7 linked regions of the Ovis aries genome follow. The protein of the gene in region 7 interacts with the protein of the main gene of each other region in a pairwise test. Links are inferred from orthologs where the notes say so. Each region holds a gene or a part of one and is shown on either strand. Other genes may lie near its edges.

What was found.
Region 1: the proteins of GOLGA2 (region 7) and NCF2 interact in binary tests that used the Homo sapiens proteins (3 or more experiments, as listed by UniProt). The two-hybrid records come from large-scale screens. The link is inferred for Ovis aries from reciprocal best matches to the Homo sapiens genes GOLGA2 and NCF2.
Region 2: the proteins of GOLGA2 (region 7) and UBE2U interact in binary tests that used the Homo sapiens proteins (3 or more experiments, as listed by UniProt). The two-hybrid records come from large-scale screens. The link is inferred for Ovis aries from reciprocal best matches to the Homo sapiens genes GOLGA2 and UBE2U.
Region 3: the proteins of GOLGA2 (region 7) and GPKOW interact in binary tests that used the Homo sapiens proteins (3 or more experiments, as listed by UniProt). The two-hybrid records come from large-scale screens. The link is inferred for Ovis aries from reciprocal best matches to the Homo sapiens genes GOLGA2 and GPKOW.
Region 4: the proteins of GOLGA2 (region 7) and ZGPAT interact in binary tests that used the Homo sapiens proteins (3 or more experiments, as listed by UniProt). The two-hybrid records come from large-scale screens. The link is inferred for Ovis aries from reciprocal best matches to the Homo sapiens genes GOLGA2 and ZGPAT.
Region 5: the proteins of GOLGA2 (region 7) and ZMAT2 interact in binary tests that used the Homo sapiens proteins (3 or more experiments, as listed by UniProt). The two-hybrid records come from large-scale screens. The link is inferred for Ovis aries from reciprocal best matches to the Homo sapiens genes GOLGA2 and ZMAT2.
Region 6: the proteins of GOLGA2 (region 7) and MOS interact in binary tests that used the Homo sapiens proteins (3 or more experiments, as listed by UniProt). The two-hybrid records come from large-scale screens. The link is inferred for Ovis aries from reciprocal best matches to the Homo sapiens genes GOLGA2 and MOS.

The regions. Positions count from the first base shown.
Region 1 is NC_056065.1:64,044,095-64,047,443, forward strand, and holds part of NCF2 (neutrophil cytosol factor 2), read right to left. Parts: intron 280-3,349; coding exon 102-279; intron 1-101. UniProt on the Homo sapiens protein: Subunit of the phagocyte NADPH oxidase complex that mediates the transfer of electrons from cytosolic NADPH to O2 to produce the superoxide anion (O2(-)).
Region 2 is NC_056054.1:39,650,965-39,655,043, reverse strand, and holds the start of UBE2U (ubiquitin-conjugating enzyme E2 U), read right to left. Parts: upstream 2,801-4,079; 5' UTR 2,363-2,800; coding exon 2,297-2,362; intron 987-2,296; coding exon 905-986; intron 544-904; exon of another isoform or gene 426-543; intron 1-425. UniProt on the Homo sapiens protein: Catalyzes the covalent attachment of ubiquitin to other proteins.
Region 3 is NC_056080.1:55,987,511-55,991,794, reverse strand, and holds the start of GPKOW (G-patch domain and KOW motifs-containing protein), read right to left. Parts: upstream 2,801-4,284; 5' UTR 2,648-2,800; intron 1,788-2,647; 5' UTR 1,641-1,787; intron 20-1,640; 5' UTR 1-19. UniProt on the Homo sapiens protein: RNA-binding protein involved in pre-mRNA splicing. As a component of the minor spliceosome, involved in the splicing of U12-type introns in pre-mRNAs.
Region 4 is NC_056066.1:53,744,868-53,749,012, reverse strand, and holds the start of ZGPAT (zinc finger CCCH-type with G patch domain-containing protein), read left to right. Parts: upstream 1-1,345; coding exon 1,346-1,932; intron 1,933-4,145. Other genes in the region: ARFRP1 (ADP-ribosylation factor-related protein 1), read right to left, coding at 52-144. UniProt on the Homo sapiens protein: Transcription repressor that specifically binds the 5'-GGAG[GA]A[GA]A-3' consensus sequence. Represses transcription by recruiting the chromatin multiprotein complex NuRD to target promoters.
Region 5 is NC_056058.1:49,485,854-49,489,819, reverse strand, and holds the start of ZMAT2 (zinc finger matrin-type protein 2), read right to left. Parts: upstream 2,801-3,966; 5' UTR 2,787-2,800; coding exon 2,769-2,786; intron 2,436-2,768; coding exon 2,342-2,435; intron 1,402-2,341; coding exon 1,278-1,401; intron 79-1,277; coding exon 5-78; intron 1-4. UniProt on the Homo sapiens protein: Involved in pre-mRNA splicing as a component of the spliceosome.
Region 6 is NC_056062.1:36,287,818-36,290,669, forward strand, and holds MOS (proto-oncogene serine/threonine-protein kinase mos), read right to left. Parts: upstream 1,693-2,852; 5' UTR 1,626-1,692; coding exon 603-1,625; 3' UTR 501-602; downstream 1-500.
Region 7 is NC_056056.1:8,010,824-8,015,102, reverse strand, and holds the start of GOLGA2 (golgin subfamily A member 2), read right to left. Parts: upstream 2,801-4,279; 5' UTR 2,777-2,800; coding exon 2,696-2,776; intron 1,159-2,695; coding exon 1,036-1,158; intron 73-1,035; coding exon 1-72. UniProt on the Homo sapiens protein: Peripheral membrane component of the cis-Golgi stack that acts as a membrane skeleton that maintains the structure of the Golgi apparatus, and as a vesicle thether that facilitates vesicle fusion to the Golgi membrane.

The sequences.
Region 1 (3,349 bases), on a different chromosome or scaffold from region 7:
TGGCTAAAGTTTGTAGCTGATTGATGTTTTCTTCTCTCTTCCCTTATATTTATTGCTGCTAACATGTACATTAGTTTCTGCACTCTGGGAGTAGCACTTACCTGTTGATATCACCAGGATTACGTCCCCTTCCAGGAACTCCAGGTCTTCTGGCTGGGTAGCCTCGTAATTGAAGAGAGCTACCACTTTGCTCCCTTCCTTAAGCTCAGGTTCTGTTGTCTGGTTATTAGCATCAGATTTTTTGCTTTCTTCAGGTTCATCTGGAAATCCCTGGTCACCCTGAAATAGTAAAGGGCCTATTTATTAGTTTTCCTAACTTCCTGCCATGAACATTTGAACATCACTGAAGGAATCAATCAGCAAAATGTCAATGTAACACCTGGGATATAAACTCAAAGCCAAGTTTGTGATCAGTGCCAGGCATAGACCTGGTGTGTACTTTATGAACACTGGATGGTTGGGTGAAAGTGAAGTCACTCAGTCATGTCCAACTCTTTGCGACCCCATGGACACTAGGCGGCTCTGTCCATGGGATTTTCTAGGCAAGAGTACTGGAGTGGGTTGCCTTTTGGGTAAGTGGAACCAAAAGGTCGACAGGACTGTAGATCATCTTAAAATCCTACTGAAACCTTATGTTAATCCCGAAAAGGGTAGGTACAATTGTTAATTTTTCTCAGATGGAGAAACAGGTTGAATCACAAGTAAGTGAAAGAACCCAAAGTCAACTCCCAAATCAACACCTTTTCCCCAGCACCCATAACACTGGACACCTTGTTATAGAAAGGCAAACTTGTCTGCGCTATCCCAAATCTATTAATCAAGAACTCCCTGTGGGAGTTAACAATCATTAACAAAACAAAAAAAAAATTTTAAAACAAAATCAACATTTGCAGTGAAGTAATGCTGAAGCTGAAGCTCCAATACTTGGGCCACCTGATGTGAACAGCTGACTCACTGGGAAAGACCCTGATACTGGGAAAGATTGAAGGCAACAGGAGAAGGGGGCAGCAGAGGATGAGATAGATAGCAGCGCCAATTCAATGGACATGAATCTGAGCAAAATCCAGGAGATGGGAAAGGACAGGGAAGCCTGGCATGCTGCAGTCCATGGGGTCACAGAGTCGAACATGACTGAACAACAAATTCACATTTAGAGCCGAACTAATAGGAATCCTTTCAAGACAGAACTGAAGGGATTAGTCCAAAAACAGATTATTGGAAAAGCTAGAGTGACCTTTCACACTTTGAGGGGACACCTTGCAGGGACACTCACTTGCCCCTGGGTCCTGGGCCTTCCAGCCAGGCCAGCGCAGCCGCTCAGCTGTGGCCGACTCTGCAATCCCATGGGCCGCACATGCCAGGCCTTCCTGGCCATCACCAACCCCGGAGTCTACCCAAACCCACGTCCATCGAGTTGGTGATGCCATCCAGCCATCCCATCCTCCGTTGTCCCCTTCTCCTGCCTGCAATCTTTCCCAGCATCAAGGTCTTTTCAAATGAGTCAGCTCTCCACATCAGGTGGCCAAAATACTGGAGTTTCAGCTTCAACATCAGTCCCTCCAATGAACACCCAGCACTGATCTCTTCTAGGATGGACTAGTTGGATCTCCTTGCAGTCCAAGGGACTCTGAAGAGTCTTCAACACCACAGTTCAAAAGTATCAATTCTTCTGTGCTCAGCTTTCTTTATAGTCCAACTCTCACATCCATACACGACCACTGGAAAAACCATAGCCTTGACTAGATGGACCTTTGTTGGTGCCAGAGGCACCCGGAAGTCTCAGGTCCAGGGGCTCCACTTGCTGAAACAATTTTCTGAACTCGAACCCCTAAGTTTACTTTGTGGGGTTTACTACAGGGTCTTCCTCCAGACCTATCCTCTTTAGTTCTTCCCCATCAAACATTTGTCTTTGATTTGAGTGCAGAGGAGACCCCTAACTGAGCAGTAACCCCTAGCCAGCTGTGGGGATGAGGGTTTGGAGGAAGGACTCGCTGGGCCCATGCCTACATATCTGGAATAGCTTTCCTGCCGTGGTCATTTCTATGGTCTCAAAAGTCCACTTGTGGCTGAAAACTAGTAGCTGACCAAGGATTCCCTTAGGAGCTATTCAGTTTTATACCCCCAGGCAGATAAAACTGCAGATGCCACTGTTGACAAAGGCTAAAGCAGGAAACAGGTGAGAAGAGGAACTGAAGTGCCAACGGGACCCCACTTGACAGCTTTGGGCGGTGGGGACTGCAGGTTCATGGTCTCTGTGTCAGGACTCCCCAGCCGCCCGATTGTGGGTTGGGAGCTGTTTACTCAGGGGAAGCCCACCAGCTGCTGGGAGCCAGCACGGGAGATCCCACCCATGACAAGGTCATGCGGAGAGACCTGACGGGCAAGGCGGATCAGGACTCGAGGGATCCCCTGGAACTGCTCGAGCATCTACCCCAAAAACCAGAGTCTATCTGTCTTACTATTTTATGACTTTCACCAACTCCTCTGACATTAACAGGGGGCTATCCCTGACCACCTTTCTCTGAAGAAAATCAATGTAGAGCTTTGGTTAATAAGTCTCCTGGGCATAATAAGAGTGTTTCAATTCAAACCCCTCTGATAGCTTTCTAACTTGCCTGACAGGTTTATCTGGACTTTTTCAACTACGCATGTGATTGTTTACGGCTTCCCAACTGTGAGAGGCACAGGAAGCTTAAAACATTCTAGGAATGTAGAGCCTTTCGAGGAGTTAAAAATCATTAGAATAGAACTGATTAAGGGTTTCATTGTTGAGCCAATACTTGCTGCCGAGTTTTCGTATCTTTTATTTATTGATATAGTTGGTATATAGAGAAAACAGGTAGTAGCCCTGGCATTAGCAACATTAGATCTTTGAGTTAAGTACTTTCTTTGTTGTAACCCACTGTACCTTTGTTCTGTAGGAATGTAACTTTATTTAGTACTTTGAGGGTGATGCAGATTAAAGAAAAAACACTTCAAGGGAAAATGAGTTTTCTGGTTGATTAACATTTATCAAGGAAAAGAGCCATAAAATATTAACAGGTCTCCTGTCCAGAAGATAATGTAAATCACCTGAGACCTTTTGTATACAGAAAGGTATGCAGAAAGAAAGCCTGGTATCAATAAGGGCCGGGACTGCTGCCCCTGCATGACTCTGCATCTTCCATTATGTAACACTTAGGGTATATAAGCTCCTTTTGAAAATAAAGTTACGGGTCTTGCACAAGCTTGGCTGCCCCATGTTGTACTTTCTTTCTCTCTTTATCTCTTTTTCAGGCTAGTTCCTTGGAGCACAGAGGCTCTCTGCATTCACTTTCCTGCCTGGGCTTCTAAGACCCACGTGAGAGGG
Region 2 (4,079 bases), on a different chromosome or scaffold from region 7:
ATGTCTGACTCTGTGTGACCCCAGAGACGGCAGCCCACCAGGCTCCCCCGTCCCTGGGATCTCCAGGCAAGAACACTGGAGTGGGTTGCCATTTCCTTCTCCAATGGATGAAACTGAAAACTGAAAGTGAAGTCGTGCAGTCGTGTCCGACTCTTTGTGATCCCCTGGACTGCAGCCTACCAGGCTCCTCCGTCCATGGGATTTTCAAGCCAAGAGTACTGGAGTGGGGTGCCATTGCCTTCTCCGCCTTCTGATTCTAAACCTGGTGAATTCTCAGACATTCTTCAGGACCCAACTCAAGTGTCACTTCCTTGGGAAGCTGTTCCTGACTCTCCAAGGCAAAATTAACTAATCACTGCCTCCCAAGTATTCCATTCAAAATTCATAACAGGACATGTTATATTTTATTGTAATTATCCACTTACATGCTTTTCTCCCCTATCTCACTAAGCAAATATATCTTGTTAATCTGCAACTCTAAGAGGGCATGGTCATTAAAGTTTATGGTTGCCTAGTCTTCTTGAGAACTTGACTTATGGACATCTGTGGGAAAATCATAGAGAAAAAAAAAAAAGAGACATAATTGTGGGATTTTTCCATCAGGCATTTTGTTGGTTATTCTCTGAATTCATGGAAGACTATTAGATGATATTCTCAGTTGATATGTTTTCCTATGTCTGCTTCTTAAAAACATGATAACATTAAGACTGGGCATAAAGAAATATTCAAACCTAAAATATCCATCCATGTTGACAAATGGCAAAAAATTAAGCCATACAATGAAAAAATTAACATGTGAAAACTTTAGGAATTCTAGAAAATTTATACAGTGCAACCTTAAAGAAATTAGGCTAATAATATAAAGGCTTTTATAAAAAAGTAAATTGGTTTCCCAAACACAAACCATGCCAAATTGTATTCTGTAGACCTTCAATGTCAACATCCCATTGCATCATATCTTCACTTATAGGAAAGGCAGTAATACCCTAAACATCAAGAAAAATTAAAGCAGAAAAAAAGATTAAATATTTATTGCAGTTTGGGAAGTCAGATATTAGGTTACAATGAATTCCAAAAGCTCTAAATTTTCTTTTATTGATAAAAATGTTTGACTTGAGAAGGCGTTATATACTGTCTTATTACACAGAAGATAAGGTAGATTCCAGAAAATACATGCAATAGTAAATTTTAAGTAAATCATTAGTATGAAAATCACAAATGGGACAGGAAGGTCAAGAATGGAATATGTGACTTATGTAATTCTATAGACAATTTAAGATTCAAATTCAAAAAGAAAGGAATAGTTGGAAAGCATGTATTTCCTCATAGCTTTAAAAAAAACCCTACAGATGCTATACTAGGCATGAAGTAAATTTTCATTAAGAAAAACACAACTCTAAAATTATGCTCATATGTAAAAATAAAATTTTCCTACACTTGAGGCATTATTCCAATGGAGGGAAAAGAAAGTATTACTGTGCAAAACAATGAAGACCTAGCACAAACCAAAAATAATAATAAATAAAAATTTTAAAATGAAATTATAAGGGAAAGACACTTATGTGTTATATGTCACAGCAATTGGCAAAAAGTGCACTAGACAGGAAGAAAAAGAACTCAAGACTTAAGAGCAAGGGATTTTGGAGTCAAAAAACCCTGTGATGGAATCCCGAGCCCAAATATTTACTGAAAGCTTTCTGAGGCTTAGGTTTGTGGTAGGTAAAACAAAACACTACCTACTTTACAATATTGTATTGATAATTGAGGGGATTCCCAGGTGGTATCGAGTAAAGAATCCACTTGCCAACGCAGCAGACCTCGGTTTCATCCCTGGGTGGGAAAGACCCCCTGGAGAAGGAAATGGCAACCCTTTCCAGTATTCTTGCCTGGAAAAATCTCATGGACAGAGAAGCCTGGTGGGCTGCAGTGCATGGGGTTGCAAAGAGTCGGACACAACTTAGCCACTGAACATGCAGGCACAATTGATAATTAGTGAATGCAACCCTGCATTCACTAACTAAATAACTAATGGTTATTTACTACCTGATAGACTGTTACATTCAGGGATTAAAGTCCATAAATTACTCAGCACAGTGTGCTCAATACTGTTAACTACTATTATGAAATACTAATAATTATTATGAAACAGATTATTATACTGAAATAGGTTCATTAAACAAGTCTGTAGTGCAAATTAGATTTAACTCAATTATGCTTTGTGGAATAAACACAGATTAAACTGCTTTTAAAAACTCGTACCCCAATGAAACACAACCTCCACGTCTCCAATACTCACCTCATAATTGTTGTTCTTCAACTCTTGGAATTCTCTTTTTAGCAAGATGTAAGCTCTGCTGTACATGATAAGGCAAAAAATCCTCTGATCCTGTCCCCTCACTACTACGGTTCGCTCTGAGGCAAGTGTCTGAGGTTATGGGTCACTCTCCTATACCTAGTTAACTGACATAAATACTTGCTTTCTCCAGCTTCAGAATGCTGTATATATACTCCCAAGAGAGGTGGACCTAAGTTGGGCACGTAGCAGCGACTTTCTTTTCTCCTCTGACTCTTCTAAAGGAGGACTTCAGAAGGAAGACTTGAGCACTTTCTCCACTGCCGTGTGTCCTTGCCGCGCCAGCCCACAGCCCAGCCTGAAGATAAATGTGGATGAAACCCTGAGACCACTCGTGCTGCTTATGCGTGAAGTGGGCGTAAGAAGCGTAAGTTCAGGGTGTTCTTAACCAGTCACCGTCTCCGCTTCACAGGTGTAATTAACTGGGTGCCGGTTGGGCAAGAAGACGCAAATCGGTTGCCAAGCAACAAGACTAAACGGCACTGTAGAGGAGGTGGGCACTTGGCCACTCCTCATCCAATCAGCGTTGTGGGGTGGCCTCTGGAAACCTTCACAGCCAATTGTCCAAAAGGCTCAGTTTGAAAGGCCAATGAGAACCGTTGTTAAGGCCTCCTCTGTCCCAGCGCCCCGTGAGACTACTAAATCCATCCATTTTGTTGGGGTAGGGGGAAAAGTCAGAGGGTCTAGCGTTTAAGTCTAAGTCAGAGAAGACTTCACTAGAAGTCCTCCGAAATCATCTTTTCTTTTTCTTTGAATATTATGCTGGTCTGCTCTTGTTTATAATAACATATGGCACTTGTGGCTCAGCTGGTAAAGAATTCGCCTGCAGTTAGGGAGACCTGGGTTTGATCCCTGGGTTGGGAAGATACCCTGGAGAAGGGAGAGACTACCTACTCCAGTATTCTGGCCTGGAGAATTCAATAGACTGTATAGTCCATGGGGTCACAAAGAGTTGGACACGACTCTGCGACTTTCATATGGCACTTCAGCGGTCATGATATCTTCGCATATATTATTATGTCATCAAATTCTTCAGTTACTCTGGAAGAATGTTATGCAACATGAACTACTTAAAAATTCTCATCTCTTGCTGAGTTGTGCCACTTTCTGTTCCTTCTGTCTAGATATTTACCACGTTCAGATTTACCTTTGCCTACGATTCTTTATGAAATCATACAAGACAACTCCTTTCTTGTGATCCTAGAGGACCCTATATTTACCTCCCTGTTAGCATTTATTGGGCTTCCTCCGTGGCTCAACGATTTAAAAAAAAAATCCACTTGCAATGCAGGGGCTGCAGGAGACATGGGTTTGATTGTTGGGTTCAGATCCCCTGCAGGAGGGCACGGAAATCCACTGGAGTATTCTTGCCTGGAAAATCCCGTGGACAGAGGAGCCTGTTGGGCTACAGTCCATAGCGTCACAGAGTTGGACAAGACTGGAGAGAATTTAGCAGACAGGCATAGCATTTATCAGGCTGTATCACAATTGCCCATTGCTTTCTTTAGCCAGCTGTGAGCCTCTTAAAGGTGCTAATTTGCCCATGTCAACTACAGAAGCTGGCATCTTTTCTCAGAGTACTTTTTCTTACTGTTTACTGATTTTGTGGAAAACAGGACATCAGTTTAATTAGTTCATTCATTTCACAGATATTTATTTCACACTTCTCATGTGCTGCGCAACAGTTCACATGAAGTGACTACCTTTTTGGCTCCAGTATTCAATA
Region 3 (4,284 bases), on a different chromosome or scaffold from region 7:
CCTTCTGGTATTCTAAGGGCTAAAGAATAAAAGAGACTAGTGTTAGTCCTGCAGTCCTATCTGACTCTTTGCAACCCCATGGACTGTAGCTGGCCAGGCTCCTCGGTCCGGGATTTTCCAGGCAAGAATACTGCAGTGGATAGCCATTCCCTTCTCCAGGGGATCTTCCTGGAATCAAACCCAGGTCTCCCACATTGCTAAAGAAAATCTTTAATGATGGTCCTGTGAAACTGGATAGGGCTCTTCCCTATATAAACATTCTAGCCGCTTCTCTTTGAATTCACATCCGGGTTTCACCATTCTTACTATGTAAGCCGAGACCCTAGTAATCATCCAGGCTCCACCTACCCGAATAACCATCCTGATCCCACCTTCTTAGCTAACAACCCTGGCAACAAATATTCAAGCAATCCTCCAAATTTCCTACATCCCTCAAATAAAACATAGATTTTGCCCCTCATTTTAAACCCTTAGGCCCACCCTACGCCGTGCTTCTCCAGGATTCCAGGTCCTGCTCTCTAATTAGCCGGGTTTTAGTCACTAAGTCTGCCTGGAAAATCCCATGGACGGAGGAGGCTGGTGGGCTGCAGTCTGTGGGGTCGCTAAGAGTCGAACACGACTGAGCGACTTCACTTTCAATTTTCACTTTCATGCATTGGAGAAGGAAATGGCAACCCACTCCATTGTTCTTGCCTGGAGAATCCCAGGGACGGGGGAGCCTGGTGGGCTGCCGTCAATGGGATCGCACAGAGTCGGACACGACTGAAGCGACTTAGCAGCAGCAGCAGTCATTAAATCGTGTCCGATTCATACACTATAGCTACCCCATGCGCTATATAGCCCGCCAGACTTCCTCTGTCCATGGGATTTGGCAAGAATACTAGGTGGGTTGCCATTTCCTACTCTGGGAGATCATCCCACCCAGGAATCAAACCCGGGTCTCCTGAATTGAATTACAGGCAGATTCTTTACCCACTGAGCTACGAGGGAAGACCAGTTAGCCTATAAAACCTCAACCTATTATTCCTGACAGTTCCAGCCACACTCCCAGTGCGTTTATAGACTCCGCCCCCTTGACTAACATTCCAGGCCTGCCCCTCAGCCAGTGCCCGACCCCAACCCTCTCCAGGCACGGCCTCCTCAGAAATACCACTTGAAACTCCGCTGACGAAAATAAATATCAAGCTCCGCACCCACAGCTACTCTTGCAGCGTTCAACTACTCCAATAACCCTCTCTATGTCACCTCCTAGAGGAATATTCTAGGCTAAAACCAGGACCCTCCAATCACAGCCAAGCGCGGGCCTCCATATTCACACTCATTGGTCCCACCAAGAGAAGTGAAGTTGCTCACTCGTGTACGATTCTTTGCGATCCCATGGACTGTAGCCTACCAGGCCCCTCCGACCGTGGAACTTTCCATGAAAGAGTACTGGAGTGGGTTAGCCATTTGCTTCTCCAGGGAATCTTCCTGACCCGGGATCGAACCTGGGCCTCCCGCATTGCAGGTAGACGCTTTACCCTCTGAGGCACCAGGGAAGCCCTCACACCAAGGTGGGTAACTAACAATCCTGGGCCCGCCTCCTCAGAACCACCCTCCACTCCGACCACGCCCCCGGAAGGCCACGCTCCGTCACTGACCCTCTTTGGGGCGCAGGCGCACGGTGGTGCCGGCCCTGCGTACCAGCGCCGCCACGTCGGCCGCAGCTCGGGCCGCCAGGGGGCGAGCTTCCAGCCGCGCCAGGAACTGTCTGGCGCGGGGGCCCTCGGGCTGGGGACCGCCACCGCCTGCGCGAGTGAAAAGAACAGATCAGGGCCCACCCTGAGTCTCAGCGAACCCTCACGGCCCCCTACGATCAAAGACCTAGAATTCCCCTCAAGATCCCCGAGACCACTCCTTTTCAGAGTCCCGAAGGTCACCGACTGTGCCTTTCACCTCCCTGGACCCCCGACTATCACGGGAATGCCCGTGGACCCCCGCCTGCTCCCGCGATATCCCTGGCGAGCTATTTAACTCCAGCACTCCTGGACACCTCCGAACACCCTGTGAATATCTCTGGAGGTTTCTGACGGGCCCCCCCCGACACAACCCCAGATTCCAAACTCTTCCCCCCAATATCCAGAAGGACTGCGATTCTCCCAGATGTCCCAACAGAACACGGTCTGCTCCCTGTGGCCCAGGCACTCCCGATGCCCCTCTAGATGTCCTAGGTAACCCTGCTGGTCCATGTAGCCCCAGATGGCCCCTCCACCTATCCCCAGAGGCTCCAGCCTAACCTCCCACAATCCAACAGACACACACCCCCCCCCCGATTCTAACAGCCCCCCCCCCCCCCCGCCCAGTGCCCAGGTGTCCCCAGTGATCCTGGGCAGAACCCTCCAGCACATCTCCCCGGAGACTCCTGGGAGTCCCGGGGTCTGGTGCGCCGCCCCGCGGCGCAGGTGTGGATGGGGGTGCGGCTCCTCGAGCCCAGCTGGGGTCGCTGGGCCGCTGCCCTCCACCGCCGCCGCCGCCGCCGCCGCCGCCGCGGCTCGGGCGCCAGGGCGGCTTTGTTTACCACCTGTCAGAAGGAGAAGGTGAGGAGCAGACAGGAAGTGTGAGGGCTGGCAGGGACGTGCCCACTACCCTCCCACCCCGAGCCCGGTACCTCCTTTGCTTCCCCTAGGGTCCGTGCCGCCCCCCGGGCGCCGCTCCATGACCTGTACTTGGCCTGGTGGACGCACGGCCGCCCGCAAACGCGTTGGGAGCGCTCGGGAGCGCTCACCTGGTGGCCAGCTCGGGCCTGGACGTGGCTGAAGCCGGCCGGTCCCGTGCTCAGCGCCCCAACCAGCGCGGTGACCTACCTGGCAGCCGCCAAGGAGTCCTGGCCCTGGGAGCCAGCGCGCACTCTTGGCCTCGCCCTGCCTCAGCCGCTGCCTCTCTTTCCCATCACCAAGGGAAAACTCTTTCCACCTCGGGGATGTTGTTATTCCAGTGTCAGAGGGGAAAGTCGAGGCCCAGAGAAGTTAAAGGCCCCACCTGAGCTCTCACAACTAAAAATGGGGTGCAAAACCGGAACCCAAGTTTACCGAGGTGTACTGCAGCCTCCAACAGAGCTTTCCACATCTTACGTGGAAAGTCGCTCAGTCGTGTCTGACTCTTTGTGACCCCATGGACTGTAGCCTGTCAGGCTCCTCTGTCCATGGGTTCTTCAGGCAAGAATACTGGAATGGGTTGCCATGGCCTCCTCCAGGGGATCTTCCCCACCCAGGAATCGAACCCGTGTCTCCTGAGACTCCTACATTGGCAGGCGGATTCTTGACCACTGAGCCACCTGGGAAGTCCCTTCCACATCGTAGACAGTCAGTCAATCTGCACTGAATGTTTCCCTGCTGGGGAACTGGAAGAGTATGGTGGCCTGAGGAGTGGGGGCACCCTGAGAGTCGTTGGGAACCCTGGGAGGTATCAGGGCCCTGAGCATGATAGGGTTGGTGGACCCCCAAAGTAGGGAAGGGCAGGTCTCCTGGAGAGTGGAGGGGCAGTAGGAGCCTGGACTTGAGGAAGCTTTGAAGGCATAGGGTGTGTGTTGGGGGCGGGGACACTAGCCAATGAGAGGGGAGTAATGAGGCTCCCCCTAGGTTTGAAATGGGGTGAGAGTGTCTGGAGACAAAGCCCCCAAGATGGAAGCCCATGGGCAGAGTGCCACTCTAGTGACAGGAGGAATGGGGAGGGGTGAGAGAAGGCCTGTGGCCACCACTTTGTGGAGGAAAAAACAGACAAAAGATGTGAACACAAACTTTACCAAAGAACATATACAGATGGCAAATAAGCATGTGAACCTCGCTTAATATGATTAGTCTTTAGGTAATACAAGTTAAAATCATGGCAAAATGCCACTACACACATATTAGCATGGCCAAAGTTAATTAAACGTCTGACCATACCAACTGTATGTGAATTTGTCCAGGAAATGGGACTCTCATATACTGCTTCCAGGTTCAATACTTGTTCAGGGAACTAAGATGCCCCGTGAGGCAAGAAAAAAAATCGAACGCCCCTCTTAGTTGTAGACATTCCTGAAAATAATCCTTTTGCCCCTTTTAGCATCACTTGGTTCACGGATGTAGGTCAGTCCCTCTAACAACCCCACCCAATTCTGATTAATTTAAGCAAATCTTTCTTTTCTTTAGGAGATTGCAGGTTAATTGACATAAAATTTGATAGGTTTTGAACCTGTGACAAAACCAGTTTCATTTGCTTAACATGCAGCAAGTCAAAGGATGAGACACCAAGATCTGCAGCAGA
Region 4 (4,145 bases), on a different chromosome or scaffold from region 7:
CCGAAAGGACTGTGGGGGTGGGGGATGGCGCTGACACGGAGCCACACTCACCGTCTTCCCGGCGTTGTCCAGACCCAGGATCAGGACGCAGTACTCGTCCTTCTGGAACATGTACTTGTATAGGCCCGACAGCAGCGTGTACATCCTGCCCTGGGCACCCGAGATCGGTCACGGACGAGACGGCCCGCACCGTGGACAGAGGGTCCCGCTGCCCGCACGGCCGCTCACAGCTGGAGCCCAGGGCCCTCCTGGCTCTGCCTCCCCTCCCTTCCCCTCCGCCCGCCTTCGCCTCCGCAACTGCTACAGAATCGCCCCGGCGCTCCAGGTGCCCACACGCCCTCTCCGGCCCGGCCAGGGCGCTCTGTTCGCAGGCAGAGGGCAGCCTGCCCCGCCCCGCTTCTCGCTGCTCCCCCGCCCGGGCTCCCTTCAGGCTTTGCTCCCCTCGGGTCTCCTTAACCAACGCCCCCTTCGCTCGCGGCCCGCCGCGAACGCCTCTCAGAGGCGGGGCGTCTGAGGGCTGGTGACTGCCCAGAGCAGTCGTGAGGCGGGCGGGCGGCGCGGACAGACTGCGGACCGGTCGCCGAGCCTGGGCCCAGCTCCACCCACCCGCCTCGATGTACCTGCGACCGTCCGGCCGGACCGCCGAGCCGCAGAGCAGGGGAACCGCCTTGCGCCTGACCCACCGACCCGGCGCTAAACCCGCGCGGCGCCTGACGGGACAGGCGCCGGTCGGCCGAGGAGGGGGCGGAGCCTTCCCGGCAGCCCCCGCGCCAGACACTTCCGCCGGCGGCGGTGCTCGGGCGGAAGCGCCTGTGGGCTGCAAGGGCGGAAGTGGGGCGCCGGACGGCTTTGGCCGGTGAGGCCGGCTGGCCGTCTGTGGCGGCGGCCGGGAAACCGCTCGGAGGAGGGCCTGGCCGGGGCGAGGGGGTCTGGGCAACGGGGCCTTGGCCCGAGGTTGCTGGCCGAGCGGAGACGGGCGGCGCGAGGCCGCAGAGGTGGGCCCGGCGGGGGACACAAGACTTGGACGCATAGACCCCGGAAGAGCTTGAAGGCAGCTCCCGGGAAGGGAATCGAGGCCGTGGGGCTAGTGGCCAAGGGCCAGCTTTGGCTCCTCCTCTCGGAGCTTGAAATATCTCCACGTCCAAACGAAGAGACTGCTGTTCACGGTTCCGCAGGCTGACCACCGAGGGTTGCAGTCGGCCAACGCTCAGTGTCGGCGTTGTGGGGGCCGTCTGTCCCAGACTCATCTGGCTTCTCTTCTCCGCAGCTCTGGCTCCCACGCCTCCCCTCTGAGGACCCAGGGACCCAGCCCCGCAGGCGCGGGAAATCGGCCCCTCCCGCCAGGATGGACGAGGAGAGCCTGCAGACCGCCCTCCGGACCTACGACGCGCAGCTGCAGCAGGTGGAGCTGGCCCTGGGCGCTGGCCTGGATCCCTCGGAACTGGCCGACCTGCGCCAGCTGCAGGGAGACCTGAAGGAGCTGATCGAGCTCACTGAGGCCAGCCTGGTGTCTATCAGGAAGAGCAAGCTGCTGGCGGCGCTGGATGGAGAGCGCCCAGTCCAGGAGGATGCTGAGCCTTTGGCTTTCCAAAATGCCATCGTGGAGACGGCGGAGGTGCCAGTAGCCCCCGGGGCAGAACTGGAGACTGTTCCTTCGAGAGAGACTGGGCCAGGACCCACGGAGCCTGGGCAGGAGGAGGACGACGGGGAGGACGAGGAGGGCGGGGCAGCACTGAGTGGAAGAAAGGTGAACGCCCCCTACTACAGTGCCTGGGGCACCCTGGAGTATCACAACGCCATGGTAGTGGGCACCGAGGAGGCGGACGACGGCTCCCCGGGCGTGCGCGTACTCTATCTCTACCCCACTCACAAGTCCCTGAAGCCCTGCCCGTTCTTCCTGGAGGGGAAGTGCCGCTTCCAGGAAAACTGCAGGTAAGGCTTGAGTTCTCTAGGCCACTAGCAGGGGGCGGGGGGGGGGGGGGGGGGGGGGGGGGGAGAGGGCCGCGGGGACTTGCGGACAGAACCTTTGCAGTTCTTTGCAGTTTTGTTTTTCTTGGCCGAGCAAAATGCTGAGAAGAAGAGAACTTTATAGAGGCAGGGGGTTCTTCTAGCAGTATCCTTCATTAGGGGGTCTTCTTGACTTTTCCCCAGGTATGTCAGGAGTACAGAAGGGTTTATGTTGAAAAGAATGGAGCCCTCCCCCCCCCCCCCCCCCGCCGCCTTTCCGTGACCTGTCCTATGCTTCAAAGTGAAACTTCTAAAATTTACTTATATTTTAGATATTTTATTAGAGAAGTGGTCAAACACCCAGGTAACTAGGGAGAGTAGCATAGAGACTGCTCACATGTCATGGTAGGTCAATGTTTTGCTGCTCTTGTATTCTCTGTTCCTGCCCCTGGAGTATTTTAAAGCAGGTTGTAGGACTTACTGGGCATTTTGCCTGTAAGTACTTCAGGATGCCGGCTTAACCTAAGTGACAAGGATGTTAAGTTAAAAATTACCTCCGTGTCACTCTCACACCTCACCAACTTAACAGCAAGACCTTGTTCGTATTTAATCACGAATGTAATGATGTTGTGTTTTCCTTATGTACATTATGTTTAATTTTGCTTCTTTTTCCTTTCCAAGGAATATTTCCTGAGATTTCTAGTAGATGATTTTCTTCTTTAATCAGTAGTCCAGGGTAACTATTCAATATCTTCAGTTGTTTGGTTATCTTATTTCTTTACAGATTTTTGCTGGGCCCAGAGTCTTATTTGGTGCGGTTCCCCTTTTTTTCCTTTTTCCTCATGAGTTTTGTGAAAAGTGTAGTGTACATACAGGAAAGTGCATGAATCAGTCATAAGCCTCCTTGAGCTTCCACAGGGTGGGTGCTGCCTTGTCCCCCAGCAGAGAGTTAAGGATCAGAGCAGGGAGCCCTCCATCCTTCCTGCCATGGTCCCTCTGGAGGGTTCCTCCCCGTCCCTGTGCCACGTCCATGTGGGGATGAGAACTGACGTATTCATGTGCTGCTTCCTCTGGGCAGCACTGTTCCAGGGGTTTCACGTGTATTCACTCACCTGGCAGCAAGCCTGCCAGGTAGGCCCTACAGCTGCTGTGGTTGCTGGACCCCCGAGGGGCAGTCCGGCTCTGAAATGCTGCTGCCTGCTGTCAGCTTCAGGCCTGACCCATGCAGCCCACCCACCCCACCACCACCCAGGTGTAACAGTTATTTTGTTGCTTTTACTTTGGATTTTTAGTTTAAAAATTTACTTATTTAAAATTTTATTGTAAAGATAAAGTAGTGTTGAAGCACCCTGGGACCTGCTTTCTATCCTCCCCTCCTGGGAGGCTTGCCACAACTATGATGAGCATCTCTCTAGCGTGTGAATCCTTTACAGGCACGTGTGTCTGTGAACAGAATATTCTTGTGCTTTATTTTCTAATTAAACTATGTTGTACAGCCTGCTTTGTTTTGCAACTTGCTCTTCTCACTGAGCGTGTCTGGGAGAGAAGTTTACATAGATATTTATAGGACTGTTTTGTGCATTTTAACTACTATTATTTTTCCTCATTCATATGCCACAGTTTATTTTGTCTCCTGGTGTTTACCAGTTTTTATTTACTAAAAAGAACACACTGAAAATCCTAGTACACATCTTTTGTCTCTGTTGGGAATGTCCCCAGTGTGGATGGCATGAGCATTTTCTTTCCTTGCGCGCTGTCTGCTTCTAAGCCCCTGGTCTGCTCTGTCGTGGTCACCCTAGTCACTCTTGGTCACGTTCTCTAACTTGGGGATTCGTACCTACTGAAGTGAAGAGGTGGTCTTGATTGAACTTGTATTTCCTCGATTATTAGGAAGATTGCATATTTTTTCATACGTTGTTCTAACTTTATCGCTCTGTGTTTCAGTATCCTTTTCCATAAAAAGGAGAGGAGCATGTCTTTTGCAGTTGTTGAGAGGCTGGAATGCATTAATATGCATAAAAAAACAGTACCTAACATGGAATAAGGACACAGTGGACTTAAAATTTTTATCTTGTTGTGAGAAAGGTCAAATCCAGAAAGTAAAGACAGCACAAGGGATCACTGTAACACTCAAGTACTCAGCTGAAAACTACAAAGCTGCCGGTTACTCTGGGGTCCTCTGTGCCTCAGCCCAAACA
Region 5 (3,966 bases), on a different chromosome or scaffold from region 7:
TTACGTTTCTTTCCATTAATGTGATCCAAGAAGTTAATGGAGTCTTTCACCACACAGTCACAGACATTGCAGTAGTACCTAGAAAACAAAAAGAAACAACACTAGCTTCAAATTTGCTTATAAAGATTTTATCGTTTTCAGCCAAGAAACTGATAATATTTAGGTAAAAATTCTTTTTAGAGGAGACACTTCTCATTTCCACAAAGCCTTTGCTCTTAGAAGAGTGTGGCTTCCAGCCTCCAAGATGGCCCCCACATTGATGCCACCTATATTCCTACCCTATATAGGCCCTTCCCAATTTGTACCAGGGTTAGTCCATATGATCAATAAATTATATCAAAAGTAATGCTACGTCACTTCCAAGATTAGGTTTTTTTAAAAAAACATGCATTCTGCTTAGTCTGTTCATGTAGATCACCTACTCTGGGGAAGCCACTTGCTTTGTTGTGAGCAGCACTATGGAGTGGCCCATACAGCACAGAACTGAGGCCTCCAAATCACAGTCACGTGACACAGTTTGGACAAAGATCCTCCAGCCCCACTTACACCTCGGATGAATGCAGACCCAGCAGACACCCTGATGTCAGCTTTGTGAGAGACCCTGAGCCAGAACTACTTAGATAAGCCTTTTCCATATTACTTACCCATGTGAGATATTGTGAGCTATTCTTTGTTTTATGCTGCTAATACTGGGTTAATGTATTAACACAAATAGCAATAGATAACTAACACAAAGAGGAAAGTTAACAGTGAGTTTACTCAGAGAAGCAGCTCAGAGAAGTGTCACTTATTGTTATCTGTGTTATGCTCCTGCTGGAAAACACACCTAGACAGAGTAGTAGTGTTAGGCAAAAAGATGAAGAGTTCTTGTGAGACCTTTCTTCCTAAAAGTAAGGGTCTAGGAGGAAGGTGCACAACCAGAAAATACATAACTACAACTTCTGTAGCCAGTCTTGAACCTCAACTCCCTTTATTCATGGTCAACATTTTCTGGGCTCCATTTTAGTTGCACCTAATTTCTCCCCTAGAAATCTCCTGAGTAGTCCTTTCCTTCATTTCTTCCTTTGGAAGGAGAACAAATAATCCCTTTTAAAATATTAAGAAGTAGATATAGTGCTAATATGAAGAAGCCTACAGAGTAACCCCCTCTTACAGACATGTTAACTAGAGACCCTGGAGGGAAATGGATGGAATTACAGGAAACAAGGTTGTTATTCTGGGGGCAGGTACTGAGCGTAACATTTCCTGGCTGCAGAGAAAGATGAAAAGCCACTCACCCTCCCATCTCAGACTGTGGGGTAGTCTTGGTAATGACAATTGTCTTTCCGAGTTTGGATTCCAGGTCCACCTTGTAGTCCCTATGCCGGAGAAGCTCTCGCTTAACTGGCTGCACTGGTTTTCCTGAAATATAATGGGGAAGGAAGTCCCTTCATTATTAGAGTTCCTTAACCAGAAAGGAAAAGAAATGCATAAAGTCCAAAATCCAGAGGTCTACTTTCATTTCTTTTGTGAAACATGAAGCAAAGGACACAACAGTCACTTGTAGCAGCAGCTAAGGAGAAGCTCAACACAAAAAAATGACAAGCAATTCTTAACTCTCTACATCTTTTCTCCACTTTAAAGCCAAAGAATCTAAAAGCAATTTTTTAAATGCATTAATTAACTGAAGGCAAGAGTTGTGAATCTGCACAAAAAGCAACCTTTTAAAAGAACAGCAAGACTACTCTTAAAAGGGAGACCAATATTTGGGAAATAATCTGTTGCATGCCAAGCACTATTATACAAGTTACATAAAAACTAAAAGGTTTAGAGTGTGTAACCTGGTGTGGAAGAAGGCAGAAGAATGTATGGTTTGAAAACAGATGAGAAAGGAAGATATTTTTTTCTACATAGTGGAATCTCTAGAAGAGGAGCACCAACTCCCTGACACTGTCTATCGCACAGAGAACAGTCCTAGACGCTAGGTTAAATAATACCATGTTTCCTGCTGAGAGAAAAAGAGGCTCTTCAATAGTAGTTAACACACAGCAGCGAAATACTCCTCCTCCTGTCGCTACTAAGGATTCCAATCTCTTCTCCGTACCGGAGGAAAGTACTAAATGAGCCAAGCAAAGGCAGAGCAAGGAACCCGAAAATCACAGAGCTGGAAAGCACCTCAAAAGCACTTCAATCCATCTCGCTTTCACCTTATATCTGAAGAAATCGAGAACTAGGGAGGGAATACTCTGCCAGATATTACAGAAGTATGGAGGACAGCGCATTTCAACTCCCCACCCACTCACTCTCCAACCACTGCATCGCCTCTACAACACAGTTAGCACTTAACTAAGCAAGTACCCACCATCCTTCTTTTCTCTCTCTTCCGTGAGCCTCTTCTCGGCGAGCTTCTCATATTCATCTTTGTCCCACTTTCGGCGAAAGTCCAAGTTTTTTGTCTGGGGGAAGAAAAATGCGCTTAAGATTCGCCGCTAATCGTGTCCAACTCCTGGAAAAACTGAAGAAACCGCGTCCACGCTGCCAAGGCGGCCCAGGACCTGAAGAGAGTGAAGCCTCTCCGGACACCACCAGGAGGCTAAGGTTACCTCAGGACCCCAACCCGAGCCCTCCCCGATTCCACAGACCCTGCGCGAGAGCCTCACTGGGGAGCTCTTGAACTGGAGCCATTATGTTGCGAAGAGGCGTCGGGAAGCCAGTTGGGTGTGGAATATTCAACGCCGAGAAGCCACCCTCTACCCGCGACTCCAAGCCTCCTCACACACAACACCTACCCCACTGCCTGACGCCATCTTCACTGCGAAGTGAATGGGAAGCCGGAAAATGCCGTAAAAAGCGGCCTTGAGCCGTAAAGCAAGCTTGCCTCCAATCAGCTTAGAGTCTCGTGTTCTAAACGAGCGAAGAACTGGAGGGCTTCGAAAACAGGATTGTCAGCCCCGCCTCCGCGCCAAGGAAATGGCGCATGCGTAAGGGAAGTATGAAGCAACACGGAAGTAAGGGCGCCTGCAAACGTTTTCGTCCTGGCTTTCAAAACAGGCAGATTCAACTCATCTTAACAAGAGGAAAATAAGATTCAGATCAGTGCTCTCTGATCTAGTCTAATAAACTTGCGTGCATTCCAGGAGTTTCCAAACATTTAAGGCTGAAGCGCTGTTATACGGTCTCAAATGCTTCACTTTAGTGATTCACCGCAAGCACTAAAAATACGGGCTCAGAGCACTTTCCTGAAAAGATTGCAGCCTTCCCAACACACAAATACAAATCGCTTTTTACAGTTTGTCTCTTTATCTTGAAGCAATGCTACCACCCTTTGGTTCACTCATTTTTCCTCCAGCTGAGTACATTAGGGTCATTCAATCCATCAGTTTCAGTTCAGTTCAGTCGCTCAGTCGTGTCCGACTCTTTGCGACCCCATGAATCACAGCACGCCAGGCTTCCCTCTCCATCACCAACTCCATAGGGCACAGTTTAAACAACATGATCGGACTTGGGAAGTTGGGTATCAACAACACTCCCGTGAAGAACTCTAGCAGATGTCTCACTATACACTGATTCAGTGGTGTGACTTTATCTCTAAGTTGGGGGAAGAGGGAACTGTGGTCACTTCCTTCACTCAATACAGAAACATCACCCCAGGGAGATAACTCCTAGTTCACAGAATCCTCCCGTGTACACTCTAGGGTTTTCCATGGCCTACGCAAACCAACCCCTTGATAACAATTACTCAAACTACTCCATTAAAATTTTATTTAATATATTATACAACCACTTCAAGAACAGCTACCTCCATGGCAGGACACAGAAGTCAGAGAAGTGATTCCGGCACAGGTAATGGGCCCCAAAAACATATCTCCATCTTGTCAGGTCACCTATTAAGTTCAACATTCAAGATTATTAAACAAACAGGCTCACCCTGTTATTATTAACAGTGGATGGGCTAGAGAGATGTCACATCAATATGGGCAGTGCAAT
Region 6 (2,852 bases), on a different chromosome or scaffold from region 7:
CCAATGCAGGAGACCCTGATTCCATCCCTGGGTCCAGAAGATCAGGAAGATCCCCTGGAGGAGGAAATGACTACCCACTCCAGTATTCTTGCCTGGGAAATCCCATGGATAGGGGAGCCTGGTGGCCTACAGTCCATGGGGTCAGCAAAGAGTCAGACACTAGTTAGGGACTCAACAACAACAACAAATACAAACAATAGCCATTTTAATGAAAACAACAAGAGTAATGAGCTGCTGTCCTCTTTGTTGGGGTTGCAGACAACTATTTTTTTTTTTTTTTTTTTTTTACAGTTTATTCAGGAATACCTGTTACTGCCTGAAGGAGGGCATGGCAACTTGCTCTCCTATTCTTGCCTGGAGAAGCCCATGGACAGAGGAGCCTGGCCGGCTGTAGTCCATGAGGTAGCAAAAGAGTCGGACAAGACTTAGCGACTAAATAACGACAAAGAGCACCACGACCGCTCTGCGGTTTGTCTTAGAAAAAGCATTCGAGATAAAGGGAGTTTTTAAGGGACTTTATTTTCTAAAAATCCATCCTACCTATATGATTTTTTCCCCCGCTAAATCTTCACTTCGTTAAAAACGATCAGAAACAAAGACGCTTATTTGGATCCAGTCTCGAGTCCTCCCAGCTCCTCTTTCAAAGCGTGGAGGTCCCCCAAGAGAAGTTCTGCGCTCGGCCTCTCGGGAGCAAGGGCCGCCCAGCAACGCTGGACGATGCCCGCCAACGTCTTCCTGGGGACCGAGTCGGTGAAGACGGGTGCCCGGAGAGCGGGCCGGAGGTGGTAGGCCACCACGGCATAGAGCACGTGCTGCCGCTCCCCCGAGAAGGGCGCCTCCCGCGTGCTCATCTGCCAAAGGGTGATGGCGAAGGAGTAGATGTCGGCCTTGGGTGTAACAGGCTCTCCTTTGAGGAGCTCCGGGGCTCGGTGAGTGTAGGTGCCGCCCAGGTGGTGAGGCGTCCACGGGCTCCGCAGGTCTTCCAGCCTCACGGAGCAGCCGAAGTCCCCGATCTTGCAGACATCCTGCTCACTGATGAGGATGTTGGCCGGTTTGAGGTCCAAGTGCACAATGCTTTGCCCGTGGAGGAACAGCAGGCCGCTGACCACGTCTAGGGAGTACTTTAGACACCTCTCCAAGCCCAGCTGCGCGCCAGAGTCCCCGGGGCAGCCGGTGGGGCCGTAGATGACCTGGTGCAAGGTGATGTTGCCCCCGAACTCCATGATGACGGTCCCCAGGCTGTCGAAACCCGGTGGCGGGCGCGTGCTGGCCGCCAGCACGCGCACGATGTTAACATGGCGCAGCCGGGCCGCGTTGAGCTCGGCCCAGAAGCTGCGCCTTGACGCCCGCGAGTTCTTGGAGCACCCGCTCACCTGCTTGACGGCTACTCGCACACCGTGGTAGGTGGCCTCGTACACTGAGCCGAAGCCCCCCGCGCCCAGCCTCCGTAGTAGACGCACCTGCTCCCAGTCGATGGAGCACCAGGCTAGCCGACGCCGGAGGCGCGGGGCCCGCGGCAAGATGCCCCCCAAGAGCTCGCAGGGGCTGCTGCAGGGCCGCGAGTCCCCCGACGACGGCGAGAGGTCGCCGGGCAGGTGAGGGCGCCGCGGGAGGGGCGAGGGCATCTCTTCTGCAGCGCAGGTGAGCCGGCCTGGAAGAGGGGATCCCGTCGGCCTGCAGGCATCACTGGCTGCTGCCCCTCCGCTCCGCCCCCGTGTTTGTCTCCTCTGCCTTCATCTTCCCCAAAGGAGCCACATCTGTGCGGTTCCTTAGCGAGGACTTTTATCAGCTGAGGAAACCATCTGAGCGCAGGCAGCACCGAAACCCCATTCAGATGAAGGTATTTCCCTTGGGCACTTACAGTGAATTCTTATAAAACAAGCCCTGGAAGAGGGTTCACCGGATAAACAGTTAACTTGCCCCAGGAATCACCCTCTTCCACAAGTTCTTTAATTATTATAAAGCAGGCTTCTCCCCTACCCGTCCACCCCCACTCCAAGTCTCATCCGCTGGGCGTCATCGGTCCTCAGATCACAATAGTGCAATGAAATTTTTTTCACACTTTGCAGGCTATAATGATTGTCAGTTTATTCTCCAGCTGCATTAAATCACTTCCAGCAGTTATTGGCAGAAAGAGTTGAAACATGAACAGCTGACAGTTGTTGAACCGATTACAGGGAAAATTAGGTGCAACGTTCACGGAGGGATGAAAAATGGTAAGCTGAAAGTGATCGATCCAAGCAGAATTGCTGATACAGGTCACAGCATAAACACTCTGAGTTCATAAAGGAAAAGAAAATTCTCTGACACCCCATTCAGCTGATAGAGCAAATTAGCAAGACTTCTTAGCAACATATGGCATCCTTAGCAGTCTTTGGGGTCCATGGCTGTCTGGTGCACCCAGTACGCTCACTTGCAGAAGAGATTTTAGACTTCACAGCAAATAAGTTACAGAAGTTTTGAAGCAGAGTTAGAGGAGGAAAAAGAATGAAAATGATTCAGAGCTACAAGCAGAGCGTCAAATAATAACAAATACGAGAGATCTTAGGAGAGGAAAAATCTGAAGAAATAAAAAGAGTCACAGTCATATACTGTTCCTCCATATACTGTGGAAAATCAGATGTTGAGATTAAATCCAGGATCTTGCTGTTCAGCCGTGAGTTCTTCTGTTCTAATTTTTATTTTAAAAAAAGACAGTTTTCATTTCATACCTTTGGGGAAAAAACCAACAATAACACCCTGTTCATGAAAAAACACAGGAAGATGTTAGGATCTATGTTTTGAAAAGTCAAATGGTAAAGCTCTATCTTGACTTTATTTTTGCACTTAGAGCATATAGGTGATGTGTAAAC
Region 7 (4,279 bases):
GTCCAATGGGGGGATCGCTACCCCATTGGAGCGGTTAAGGTCGGACACCAGCACCTCCAGAATGTCCTGAATCTACAGGAGGCGAAAAGGGAAAAACAAGGGCAGGGGAAAAAGAGAAAAGTGGCTTAGAGAGGCAAGAGAGTCAAGGAAGGAAGAAGACACGGGTTGGGGCAACGGAATGCTGGAGAAGAGAGAAAGGAGTCAGAAGGGATCAATACAGGCCTGGGTCATTTTTCCAAGTAGCCACTTGCTGCCTTGCCAAAGGCAGAAATCAAGGGAAACAAACAGATGGAGAAGTCCCCTGAACAATGCAGTCACATAGCTCCTCAGATGAACAATGCAGCTCTTAATAGCTTCTTAGACCCTCAGGCCTAGACTTTTAAAAACCAGACTTCAGAAACAGGGTCCACTTGAATGAAGTGGCGGCAGAGGGGCTACAGCTAAAAAATAAGCTTTAAAGGCAATAATCTGATCCACCAGTATCATTTTACAGATGAGGAAACTGAGGCCCAGGGGAGGAAGTGATTTTCCCAGGGCCACCCAGCAAGCTGGTGGCAAAGATGGTCTTAAAACTCAGATGGTCTCCTAATCCAACTGCCTGAGGCCCTCTCCTCACCACACTCTGGGGCTCTACTGGGGCCTCTAAATGGAAAGTCTGAGGGCAAGCAGCTGCCTGGCTTTCCCCATGAGGCTGGGGAAGATCACCAGAGCAGTTAAGTCAACTAGCAACTACTCTTTATTGAAAGTCTACTCTGCACCAGGCCCTGTTTTAGGGGATTATAATAAAAACGACGACAATCTCATTTCAACTTCCTTGGTGTAAGACAGTATTACCCCAATTTTACTAATGTGGAAACAGGGATCCAACGAGCTTAAACAATTTGCCTAAAACCATATCCCTTGCAGAGAGAAAGGGAGAATTCAAACCCAAACTTCTTAGCCAATATCTGACATTTCTTCCACAATCTTAACCACTACCCTCTATTGTTGCCCCTTGAGTGCCTCATCCCCGGAAGGCGGTCAGGCAAGACTCACATCCTCAGGTGATGGACAATCACCAGAAGTGGTTGTCTCAGGGCTACTGCCATTCTTGATCTTTCTTTTTTTCTTAGCTCCTGCAGGAACACCAGGGCTGTTCTTCTGCTGATACTCCCTTAACTGTAAAAAGGAAAAGCAGTGAGGCTCATGAGAACTATACGCCCCCTGGATCCACATCCTACTTTACAAAGTTTACAAAATACTCTTTGCCTTCTAATTTAATGCCACAACAACCCTACAAGGGCTGTCGTCCTCAATGACTTGAAATGGACTGATAATGTGGCTAGGAGCAAAAGGTGGCAATGAAAGGCAACAACGGAATTTAAACTCAGCCTTCTGACTCTGAGTTCTGGGATTACAACATCAATCAGCAGCTGCTAGGGGGCAAAATCAGCAGCAGCAGAGGAAATGTAATCATTTGATCAGACATCAGGGTCCCTTCTTCCATCTCTATTAGAGCTGCACACCAGTACTTCTCAAAATTTTACATCAATGTATCCTGATGGCAGAAGGTAGAGAAGACACACACCCCTAGTGATTCTGGAAACATAACCGAAAGAGGACAACCCAAACACATTTCAGAGAGAAGTCCATTATAATCATACAAATCTACGCAAATGTCATCCCTACGTATATTAGTATAAAAGGTTTTTTCTCTCTCAAGAAAATCAAGCAAAACTGATCCATCAGTCCCATATTTATCCTGTGGCACTTGGGCTGCCCCACGTTGAGGTGATGATTTGTGAAAGATTCCCCGTTGTGAAGTTCAGTTTCCCTGGATGTGCTCCTCAGAGGAGCACTGAATGCTGAGTGACGGGCCCACTAGTCTCAGAATCATGGAAAATTAGAATGTGAAGTAGAAACTTCCGATTAAAAATGTGAAAGTCTCTCTGGATAGAGACCTGGGAGAAAACCAAACTAAACCAAACACCTTCTCCCCATGGCCACCCAGAAATACTGTCAATGTTTGGAGATCACTGGGGGAAGTGTAGGCTTTTTACATCAAACGATGGGGGTACAAGTCTAGAGGTGAAGGAGCCTGAAACCCAGGTCCGATCTAGGTCCCATATCCCCCCGAGTCTCCTTTTTCAAGCTGGTGCCGGGACCCAGAGAGACGGGAAAGGATGTGAAAACACAGTGGGAACTGGGTGGTAAAATTTAACACCGAGTTTCCTAGGCACTAATGACAGTTCCAAGGGGCATTATGACGTAGCCACACGGCACTGATCCCTAGCAACGCCCGAGTAGCCGCTCCGCGTTGAGTCGGGGGGCGGGGGGCGGTTGATGGGGGGCGGGGGGGAATGCAAAGGCCAGGACCGAGGTTTTCGGAGTCCGGGAGTTAGGGAGACCAGGGAGCTGCGGAGGTGCGGTTCCGGGCGACAGGAGACGAAGGCCAAGCCTGGTGTGGGAAGCCCCGGGGGTCACCGGCCCAAAGTCACCTGGGGGTGCCGAGTGAAGGCGGCGGAGACTGGGCAGCCGGGGGGCGGAGGGGTAGCGGGGGGCGGGACTGGCTGCGAAGACTTTGTTGGCGGCGGGGGGGGGGGGGCGCCAAGGGGCGCCGAGGGGCTCACCCCGTTGCCTTGGAGGCAGCACAGAAACTCTGGCCATGGCCCGGCCTTCGGAGGGGTCAGGGAGCCGCGAGCCCGCACGTTTTTACCTTTTTCTTGGCCGCAGCCAATTTGCTCTGTCGGGTTTCTTCCGACATCCCGGGACGGGGCGGGGGAAGGGGGGGCCACATCAGCACGATCCCGTCAACCTCTGCGGAATCGCTTCCGGCAGCCTCCGCGCCGCGGTGCCACTCAGCCCAGAGAGGGCGGCTCCGGGGCGGTACTAGGAGGCCGCGGTGTGTTGGAGTGGCCTCAGTTCTCTAACCCCATTGGGTAGTGGGAAAGATACGGGGCGGAGACGCACGGCTAAAGCCGCCGCTTCGCCCGAAAGAGAGGGTGGAGTCACAAAAAAAAACACTGAAAGCGCAGCCGCAGAATAAGCGGCCTGTCCTGCCCACCTCGGCGGAGAGGACTGAGCCGGCTCTCGCGGAGTGCGTGCGTAGCTACGCTTTGTGACGTTTCTAGTCTCCGTCACAGGATTCCAAGTACCTGGCGGACCTGAGGAGACTCGTTTCCGTCCTCGCTCTGGACCCTCCTTCTCTGCAGCGCCCCCCGAGTCGGGGGCCCCGGACGCCAGGGCTGAGGAGGTGGGCAAGGAGCTGATAGCAGGGGGAAAGCACATCTCTTCCCAGTCCCTTTTCGTGACACCCCTGTAGCTCTGCCTGAGACTTTCTCTCCTCAGAGATCACTTCCATAGACGCACCCCGCGCCCCCCCATCCACTCCAACACTCCTCCCTGTCAGAAACTCCCCTTTTTCGAGAATCCCTACCCTGATCCCAGAACCATTCTCTGTCCCCTTCCCAACCGGATCCAGTCTGGGTTCACAGCTGTTCCTCCTCTCCACACCCCCACAGTACCCCTTTCCTCCCCAGGCGGCCTCTAGGTCCAATCAGACTTCTTCCCTCGGCTTCCTCTGCAGGATTCAACCAGGACTTTCCAAAAGTTGCGGCGGGGCCTTCCGATCCCCTGTGAGTATGTAGCCTGTGCCCCCTCCCTGCCCTCCCCCCTGCATGCTGCTCCCAGCCCTTCCCTCCTTCCCTAACAGCGGCTGACCCACCCCCCAGCCCTCCTCGGGGTCTTCCCCCCAGCTGACCTGATTCCACAGAGAAACTCCAGGTCATTTCTCAGTCCTTCCCCGTCATCTTTTCCTCCTGCCCGCCAGGCTTCAGAGAAGAAACAGCGTTCCTGTCCTTTGTCAGGGTTACCCCAGACCCTACAAAGGGGCTCTGTCTCTCCTCCTCCGTGACATCGCCACAAGTGGTTGGCTGGTTTTGTTCTTTTCACACCACCCTCCTTCCCTCACCCATTCCACCCACGTGGAAACCACTCTCATTCCCTCAAACACAGGTGCTCTCTCCTGCCCTACAGCACTTGCATATGCTGTCCCTTGTGTGGAATACTTTTTTCCAGCTTTTTGCCAAACTGATGCCTCCTCAGCCTTTAAAGTTGAGCTTCCTCGGAGGAGTCTCAGCTCCACTTCAGGCTCGGGCCACTTGCTCTGTTAGGTGCCCCCTTAGCGCACTGTACTTCAACTTCAAAACAGTTTCCAGACTGCTAGGTAGTGAATTGGTTGTTTTTCCTTCATTCATTCACTTGGTGAATTCATTCGAAATAGTACTTTCTATGTGCCAGG